2 linked regions of the Kluyveromyces lactis genome follow. The main gene of each other region encodes a partner of the protein of the gene in region 2 in a complex. Links are inferred from orthologs where the notes say so. Each region holds a gene or a part of one and is shown on either strand. Other genes may lie near its edges.

Region 1 (3,557 bases), on a different chromosome or scaffold from region 2:
TGCCAATTATGAAAAGGTGTCAGTCGTCCGCCTACAAATCGCGACATGTTTGGTATTATTCGTGATGTTTGGTATGACGGATCAAGTGAATGGATCTTTGATGCCTGTTATTACTAAGTATTACAATGTCACCGAGCTTCAAATGTCGATAGTGTTTTTCCTTCAATTGATGGGCTATGTGTCGGCATCGGTCTTAAATGATATTTTGCATAAAAAATGGGGGTCTCGAGGCGTAATGACAGCATCATGTATACTTGCTGCATTTACCTACTTGGTTCTTGCCCTAAAACCATATTCGCTCTATCTTTATGCGATATGCTTCTTTCCGCTAGGTATGTGTGTTGGGTTTGTTGACTCTACAGGTAATTTCTACTTTGGTAATTTAGAGACTAGAAAGAATGAATGGATGGGTTTGCTTCATGGAATATACGGGTTGGCCGCTGGTGTAACCCCACCATTAGTTACAACCTTCGATCATTATTTGGATTGGTCTTATATCTTTTGGGTCCCTTTGGTGTTTGCTCTTGTGGGGTTGGCACTCTGCATGGGGGCCTTTAAATACGAAACTGCTACCAAATACAGATACATCTGTGTAGGAGTCCCCGATGAATCAGGTGGTATTGAAAATGAGGAAGAGATAAAATGGTACCAGTTATCGAAGTATCCTCCGATGATTTTCTTGTATGCATTTTTCTTATTCTTGTACTTAGGTACAGAAATTGGTGTTGGGACATGGCTATTCACATATTTGTTGAATTATAAGAAAGGTGAGAAGTTCCTTATGTCATTTGTTACTGCGTCATTCTGGTCTGGGATCACTATCGGTAGATTAGGTCTTGGTTTTGTTACAAAAAGGTTCAAAAATGAATACAGGTCAAGCGTTTGGTACGGTTTGACTTGTTCATTGTTTTTTTTCCTATTCGTTATCATCAATCTAATCAATTCCACATCGACATTCTATTTCTTTGTTTTATCGTTGATGATCTTTGGCGCTGGTATCTTCATAGGTCCCTTGTTCCCTAACGCAAGTGTTGTTGCAATCCAAATCCTACCGAAACATCAACAAGTTAGTGGTATTGGTACAGCAATCGCTTTCGGAGGGTGTGGTGGTGCATTAATAACATACTCTTTTGGGTTTGCAAACAAGATTTTTGGGTTCCAATACTATCCATTTCTATGCTTCCTTGGTTCTTTGGCATTCAACATAGTTTGGATGCTCTACCCGAAAATTATCAAAGGACATAGAGAGTACTTATAAATTACTCAAGCTCAACAGATATGAATATCGTGCCGCGCATGGAAATTATTTACTTATATATAATAGGGGAATCGCTCCTACTTCTTAACGGACATATGTATTTTAAATCCATACTACAGAAGTAATTGAATCAGCTTCATTCTTATGCTTAAGGTCTGCTGCACGTGATCTATTTTTTTTTCTTTACTTGAAGCAACTTCAACATCGAGCTGGCATCAAAAACTACCGAAATCAGAATATTACTTGCATTTAATGATATTGAGAGGTAGGAAATGCATAAAACATGTATCAAAAGACACGGCCAACGTTTCACATTACGAAACTTAGGTGAACTACTATTCATACTGTTCTCAGAAATTTCAACACAGCCTGGTCTCAGCTTGAAAAAGACATAGCATGGATCCTAATACCGAGGGCACCACAACTAAAAAGTATACATCGCAAAGACGAACAATTGACATTTCTGCATCTTATGATAGACTATATTTCTTGAAGAAGCATGGCCAGGAGAATTCGTCATATATAGAGGCAGAAACCTCATATAATGCTCATATACTACCGCCAGATGCCTATGGTTTTCATGGGCATGCCATCAATACAGCAACCAAATTTACGCATCTTTCATCAAATAAGGTAAAGCACGTTATTCCGGCTCTTACGTGGACGCCAGAAGGAAGAAGGTTAGTGGTAGCTACATACAATGGAGAGTTTTCATTATGGAGTGGATCCAGTTTCAATTTCGAAAGTATTATGCAGGCTCATGATAGTGCAGTAACCGTGATGACATACTCACATACAGGGGATTGGATGGTTAGTGGTAGCGCTGATGGGGAGCTTAAGATCTGGCAACCAAACTTTAATATGGTTAAAGTCATGGACCAAGCACATATGGAATGTGTAAGGGAAATATCGTTTAGTCCGACCGACCAGAAGTTTGTCAGTTGTTCTGATGATAATGTGTTGAAAATATGGAACTTTAGCAACGGACAACAAGAAAGGGTGCTATCAGGCCATCATTGGGACGTCAAATCATGCGACTGGCATCCGAAGATGGGTTTAATCGTATCAGGATCCAAAGACAATCTTATCAAATTCTGGGATCCGCGTAGTGGTAGCTGCGTATCCACCATGCTTGGTTTTAAACATACTATCATCTCGACGAAATTCCAACCCAAACAGGGAAACTTACTATCTGTAATTTCGAAGGATAAAACATGCAAGGTATATGATATACGACAACAGGCTAAAGAGCTTTTCAGTGTTCGTGATGATGTCGACTACATGACATTACAGTGGCATCCAATCGATGAAACAGTGTTTACCGTTGGATGCTATGATGGATCTATAAAACATTTCGATCTATCCCAGGAAAATCAGCCAAACAAACCTACACACAACATTCCATATGCACATGAAAAATGTGTTACATCATTAGCATATAGTCCAATTGGTCACATCATGGCTAGCGCCTCGAAAGATAGGACTATTCGATTCTGGACGAGATCGAGAGCAGTCGATCCAAACGCCTTTGATGATCCAACATATAACAATGAAAAAGTTAATGCTTGGTACTTCGGTATCAATAATAACATTAATGCTGTCAGAAACAAAACAGAACACGGTGTTGCTTTGCCACCAAGTGAAGACTCCAATAATAATGAAAATGGCGACGGTTCCAGATCAGTTGAACCTGAGCGACCATCTGTCAGTACTTTACCAGGTTTGGGATCAGGATTACCAGGCCTAAGTTTTTAAGACAATTGAAAGTCATGGAAATTATAGCATCAATATTATTTAAGCAGATTAAATGTAAATCTACCTTTTCTTCATCATTAATAAGTAGACTGTATCGATTGAATAAACTAAAATAGAGGTTAACGAGTAAAATACTATACTAAATAGGTAAAAAAAGAATCAGTAGTTGTTGAATATATAAAAGTGTTAAAAAGAACCGAGAAATAAAAACAAAAAAGTGTTAGGAGGTCGTTACAATTCCAGTCGCTTAATCAACTGGCGGTCAAAAGGTCATTAAATTTATAAGATATCATTTCGTCATTAATATTTTTTTTATAATTGGTGTATCAATTGGCAAGGAGCACTGGCATTCAAACTCTAATAAATATAGCCAAATCATATGGTATAAGAGATTACAACGTTTGTAGATAAGTATCATTGATACTTTCGTGCAACGTCATTATATTGGATTTTCGGACATTTTCATCTATGGCATCAGATCTATCACGGGAAGAGGATGGTTGAGGAGAAGTAGGGGACGATGTCCCATACTTCAAAAATTCGT
Region 2 (4,570 bases):
GTCTAACTAATCCAACAGATGTTAAACACAATGAATAAACGCACACCTCTTTTCGGGCCTTGGTTCGTTCTGTTTATCACTTTCACTTCCTCTGACTTAGTTAGATTCCTGAAAACATATTCAAGAAGAAGCGATGTTGAAATTATTTTTTTTTTCAAATTTCAGCGAGACGGCATTAGTTCATTTCTTTTTCTCAAAGAAGCTCTGTGTGTGTCCTTTGTTTCGAAGGGAAACGAGAACGAGATGAGATCGTGCTGTGCGTGCGTTAACTATATGTTTTAACGATAATGTGGCTAAAAGGTTATATTTTTGAAAACTTCAAATTTCTCATTAAGTGACTGATACATGGTGGAATTTCAGCCAAACCTATTGGGCATTAGCGAGCTATGATTCTCTTTTATTCGTTGACGGTTTGATAGGAAAGTAGTAAGTTTCTCCTTACATATTGCTTTTGGAACGCAACCAAATTGCAATATCTTCGACGGCTAGTATATAGATATATAAATTTAGAAATCAGGGTTTACATTGATTCAGAATAGCTTTACTCAGGAAAAATACTTGTTCAATAGTGAATCGCATTGTGGTTTGATACTTTCGTCTACTTCAGCCATAGATTCGAGGGCAACTTTGATGAACGGTTTCACTGGAGGTCTGAACATCAACATGAATTTCAAAGACTGGAACCCCAATACCGATCTAGTAGGATCTAAACATAGTGATTTCATCTTTTCGATGTGTTCTTGAGTAAGTAACGGCATTTCACTGACCATTCGAATAAACAATCTTCTGTGGGAGTCATCAAGTTTGGGGATCATGAAATCTAGCACCTTTACTGACCATTCATTATATATGGTATGATCTTTACCATCGGAAATCAATTCCTCATGGTACCACTCTTCACTTAGCCATTCAAGTACAAGCGTGATTCTGTTCTGGAAATCCTCACAGAAGTAGTCAAAAATTGCGTTGGTGACAATATCTCTCACATCTTGATTCGATGACACTCCTCTAGAGCAGAGTCTAGATAATAAGAATACCCAGGAGGTCTTATTGTCCCAATTCATTAGTAGAACTTTGTCCAATGGATTTGTACTTTGTAATTGTGTCATTGGAGTGCTCACATCAGTTTTAGTTGGTATCAGTAATATATTCTGCACAATTCTTTGCAAGTGAGTCAACTTCTCATCATAAGTTAAAGTTGGAACACCCAAGGATACTGTATGACTGCTTGATGGTTCTGCATCTTCCACTCTTTCGATCTTTGCCCTTTTGCTTTCTGGTGGCTGTATAGGAGCTGAATCATCAATTACGTACCTATCGTCCGCAGGCTGCTGTAAAGGTTCTTCGTTTTTCATTGCAACTTCTTGCTTTATTGGCAAAGCTGCAGAATTCTCTTCTCTGGGACGTTTACTAGCTTGACTTTGGCTACTGTTGTTGAATGGGACTGGACTACTATCGTTGGAGATAGTTGCGCTCTGTTGTTGAGCATTGTTTTGTAACCACTTGTTTATCAAATCGGTGTACCTGGACGCAACTATGGATAGTCCATTAATGGCAGTACCTGTGTTTGTGTTACTTAAAGCCTCAGTACATATTTTAACCATGGTATCTTGAGACAACTTCGAGACATCGAATCCGGAGGTGACGGGGTTCATTAAGGCAAAAACGGCAGAATATGAGTTATCGACAGAGGTATGAGCAGGATTCAAAAAATGTGGATGCTTTGTCGTGGATTTAGTGAAAGCATAACTCTGAAGGGATTGCAATACAGAAAGATCAGGCGGTGGGGGTGGAGGAGCAGGTATGTTCTTTACGGGGGCATGTATCTGAGGTTGAAAATTATTCAGTAACGGTGGAGTAGATGCCGTATTCATCATTGTATTTCCTATCATTGGCGAAACAATCGGTGGCATTTGAATAGGAGACGGAGATTTCGTTGTCGCTGAAAATGTTCCTGATGAAGAATCTGAAGAAGAGTCGTTAACTTCCTTCACTCTAGTGTATTTTTTTTTATCAGCTGGAGTCATTTTATGTTCAATCGCAGCCGGATCATAATTTAGAATACCTTTAGCTTTGGTCTCTTCGCCAATAACGAATAGAGTCTGTGAAATTTTAGCTAGTTTGTTTCTATACTGTGTCATGGATCCACTGTTTTTGAGTAGTTGACTTTTAATTCCGAACTGAACTAAATTTCTGTAACAACGTTCCACAAATCGCTTTGCAAGTCTGTATTGTAAAGTGGGTTCATCATCTCTTTGGAATTTCATGTCAATGTTGAATTTCAGTAAAGCGGATGCGATTCGAATTGTGGCCAATGGTCTCTGCTTCATAATAAAAGAAAGACTATGAAGAGCACCTGTGAACCATGGTGCACACATCATTGGTTCCTCAATTAAAAAAGTTAACAATTTATCTAACAAATATTTGGCTTCAGCCTCCAACGCTTGCTTATTAGATATCACAGGATGATTTTCTGGTATACTTCCCACGCTAATTCCGGGTCCTGAGGTGTGCACAATAATGATTTTCGAAATGAGCTTCACACTTGCTAATTTTACCCCCGTTCCTCTTGAATGGTTATTTAGATCATTGTCAGACAAATCCAAAGGATAGCAGGTCTTCCAGTTGGCAATGATAAGTTCTTTAAACTTTAACATTACCGACCAAAGTTTATCATCAGAAGTCTTTGCTACTAAATCAAATAATCGGTCATAAATATTACCAAGACATAGTATACAGTTTTTGTAAGTGACATAATCTCTTGTTTCAGCCATTTCCCAAAGCGCAGTGATGTTTTGACATACAATGAATGGTTTTTCACTTGATGGAATCTTATCATGAACCAATATATCCAATAATAACTGGGTAGAAAATCTCGAGAACCCTAAATTCCGCTTATCATTTAAAAACAATGTGATACCGGTCTCCAAAACCTTAGGAAGCATTTGTTCCGGCATATGCTGCATTGCCATCGCAGCTGCCTGTTGCAACTGGACTAAAGGGTCTACAGAAGTTGACATAGTTTTCTATACTCAGCAAACAGATGATTGAAAACTCACTGGAACAAAACAAAAAAGTACTGACTGTTGAGGTGCTTTGTTTAAAGTTTAACACACGGTTTATAGTATCAACCACGCTTGATGCTATGTCTGACTTGCTCTTGCTGTTTCTGCGCTCTTCAGTCACTTGTGGTTTCTTATAGTCAAAACGAAATCTGAACTTAGTGTTTAATTTTTTTTTCAATTTCATGTTCGTGCTTATAGAGAAGAGAGACTGTGAAAGAGAAAAAGCTACAGATGGTACAAACCTGCCCGAGAATATTTATGGATTTCAGACAGTAATTGACATGACATTTGTAACATTTACTTCGATTGAACTGTATATTACTGATCATGAAATTCACAATTTGTGAGTTAATAATGCTATATTGCTAGAAACAACTAAATAATGTCATAGCTCACCGATGTCGCATTTTTCAGAGGTCAACTGCCTAATCGGTTGAAATATGTAAGTGGGGCATTGTGTTGATTTCTCTCATTTCACTTTATACGCTAATGATTTGGCGGTTTGATCATTGAACGTTTCTGGGTACTATGTCAATCAGGAAATCGAACATATCGGACTTTTGTAATGCATCCGCAATGTCTTGCTTCTGCAACGTACGTCGCTTATTTTCCTCTGCAACACACCATGCTCTCATTGTGAGTTCTGTGATGAAGATTTCGCAGGCTTTTGCAAATAGAATTGGAGCCTCTCCACTAATCATTCTAACTTCTTCGTCAGTTTTCATCACTTTCTTAATCCTTGCTAGTGGTAACGAATGCGATTTGAAGTCGTCTTGGAATTGTGAACCTGGCTCATTCGTGGATTCTATCTCATTAATAAGTTCCTGCCAATACTGTATCATAATTTCTCTGTATCTGCCAGCAAGTCCCTGGCCGACATTATGGAATACGTCGATCTCTTCATCTTCTTCGAGATCCATGAGAGGTCCTTGTTCGTTTGTTACGTTCTCTTGATTATTAGCTGCCGGTTGATCCATGGTTTCGAGGTAAGTGTCATCGACAATATCAGTTAGATTTCATGTGGATCTGTGCTGCTAAGAACAGGGTACGATTTCAATACAGATCCACTCTTAGCATATTATGCGGTTTCCTGAAATCGTTTTAAGGATATGATTGTGAAAATAATATCTATGGCTTTTCATTATAAAAAAGACCATTTATGAAGGGTACCTCAACCAATTCCTGCAAAGTAACGAAGGTGGGTAAAGAGTGAATAATACCTTGAAAAACCTAATCGGGCAAGGTCCACGATTATATGGATTCGGTAATATGTGCCCCCAAAGACAGTTCCAATCATTTACTACAACTGCAGAGTCTACACTTTCACATACAACTCACAAGCAATTATCCGGTGCAACAATTTATGATGAGCCAGAAAACTTTCTAGAGATAGAGGTTTGCAACCCAAAGACTCATTTCCCTAGTGGCGATGCTAAGGGAATGTATACAGATTATGAAATTATATGCAGGACGAATCTTCCTGGCTTTTCTAAAAGATCGAGTTC

Evidence for each region.
Region 1: PTA1 (region 2) and PFS2 share a complex: the UniProt entries of both Saccharomyces cerevisiae proteins name them as parts of the cleavage and polyadenylation factor (CPF) complex. The link is inferred for Kluyveromyces lactis from reciprocal best matches to the Saccharomyces cerevisiae genes PTA1 and PFS2.

What each region holds. Positions count from the first base shown.
Region 1 is NC_006041.1:644,112-647,668, forward strand, and holds PFS2 (cleavage polyadenylation factor subunit PFS2), read left to right. Parts: upstream 1-1,654; coding exon 1,655-3,013; downstream 3,014-3,557. Other genes in the region: BSC6 (Bsc6p), read left to right, coding at 1-1,258; PFK27 (6-phosphofructo-2-kinase), read right to left, coding at 3,406-3,557. UniProt on the Saccharomyces cerevisiae protein: Integral and essential component of the cleavage and polyadenylation factor (CPF) complex, which plays a key role in polyadenylation-dependent pre-mRNA 3'-end formation and cooperates with cleavage factors including the CFIA complex and NAB4/CFIB.
Region 2 is NC_006037.1:330,494-335,063, forward strand, and holds PTA1 (RNA-processing protein PTA1), read right to left. Parts: upstream 3,021-4,570; coding exon 546-3,020; downstream 1-545. Other genes in the region: HAP5 (Hap5p), read right to left, coding at 3,572-4,042; SNX3 (Snx3p), read left to right, coding at 4,335-4,570. UniProt on the Saccharomyces cerevisiae protein: Essential in pre-tRNA processing. Component of the cleavage and polyadenylation factor (CPF) complex, which plays a key role in polyadenylation-dependent pre-mRNA 3'-end formation and cooperates with cleavage factors including the CFIA complex and NAB4/CFIB.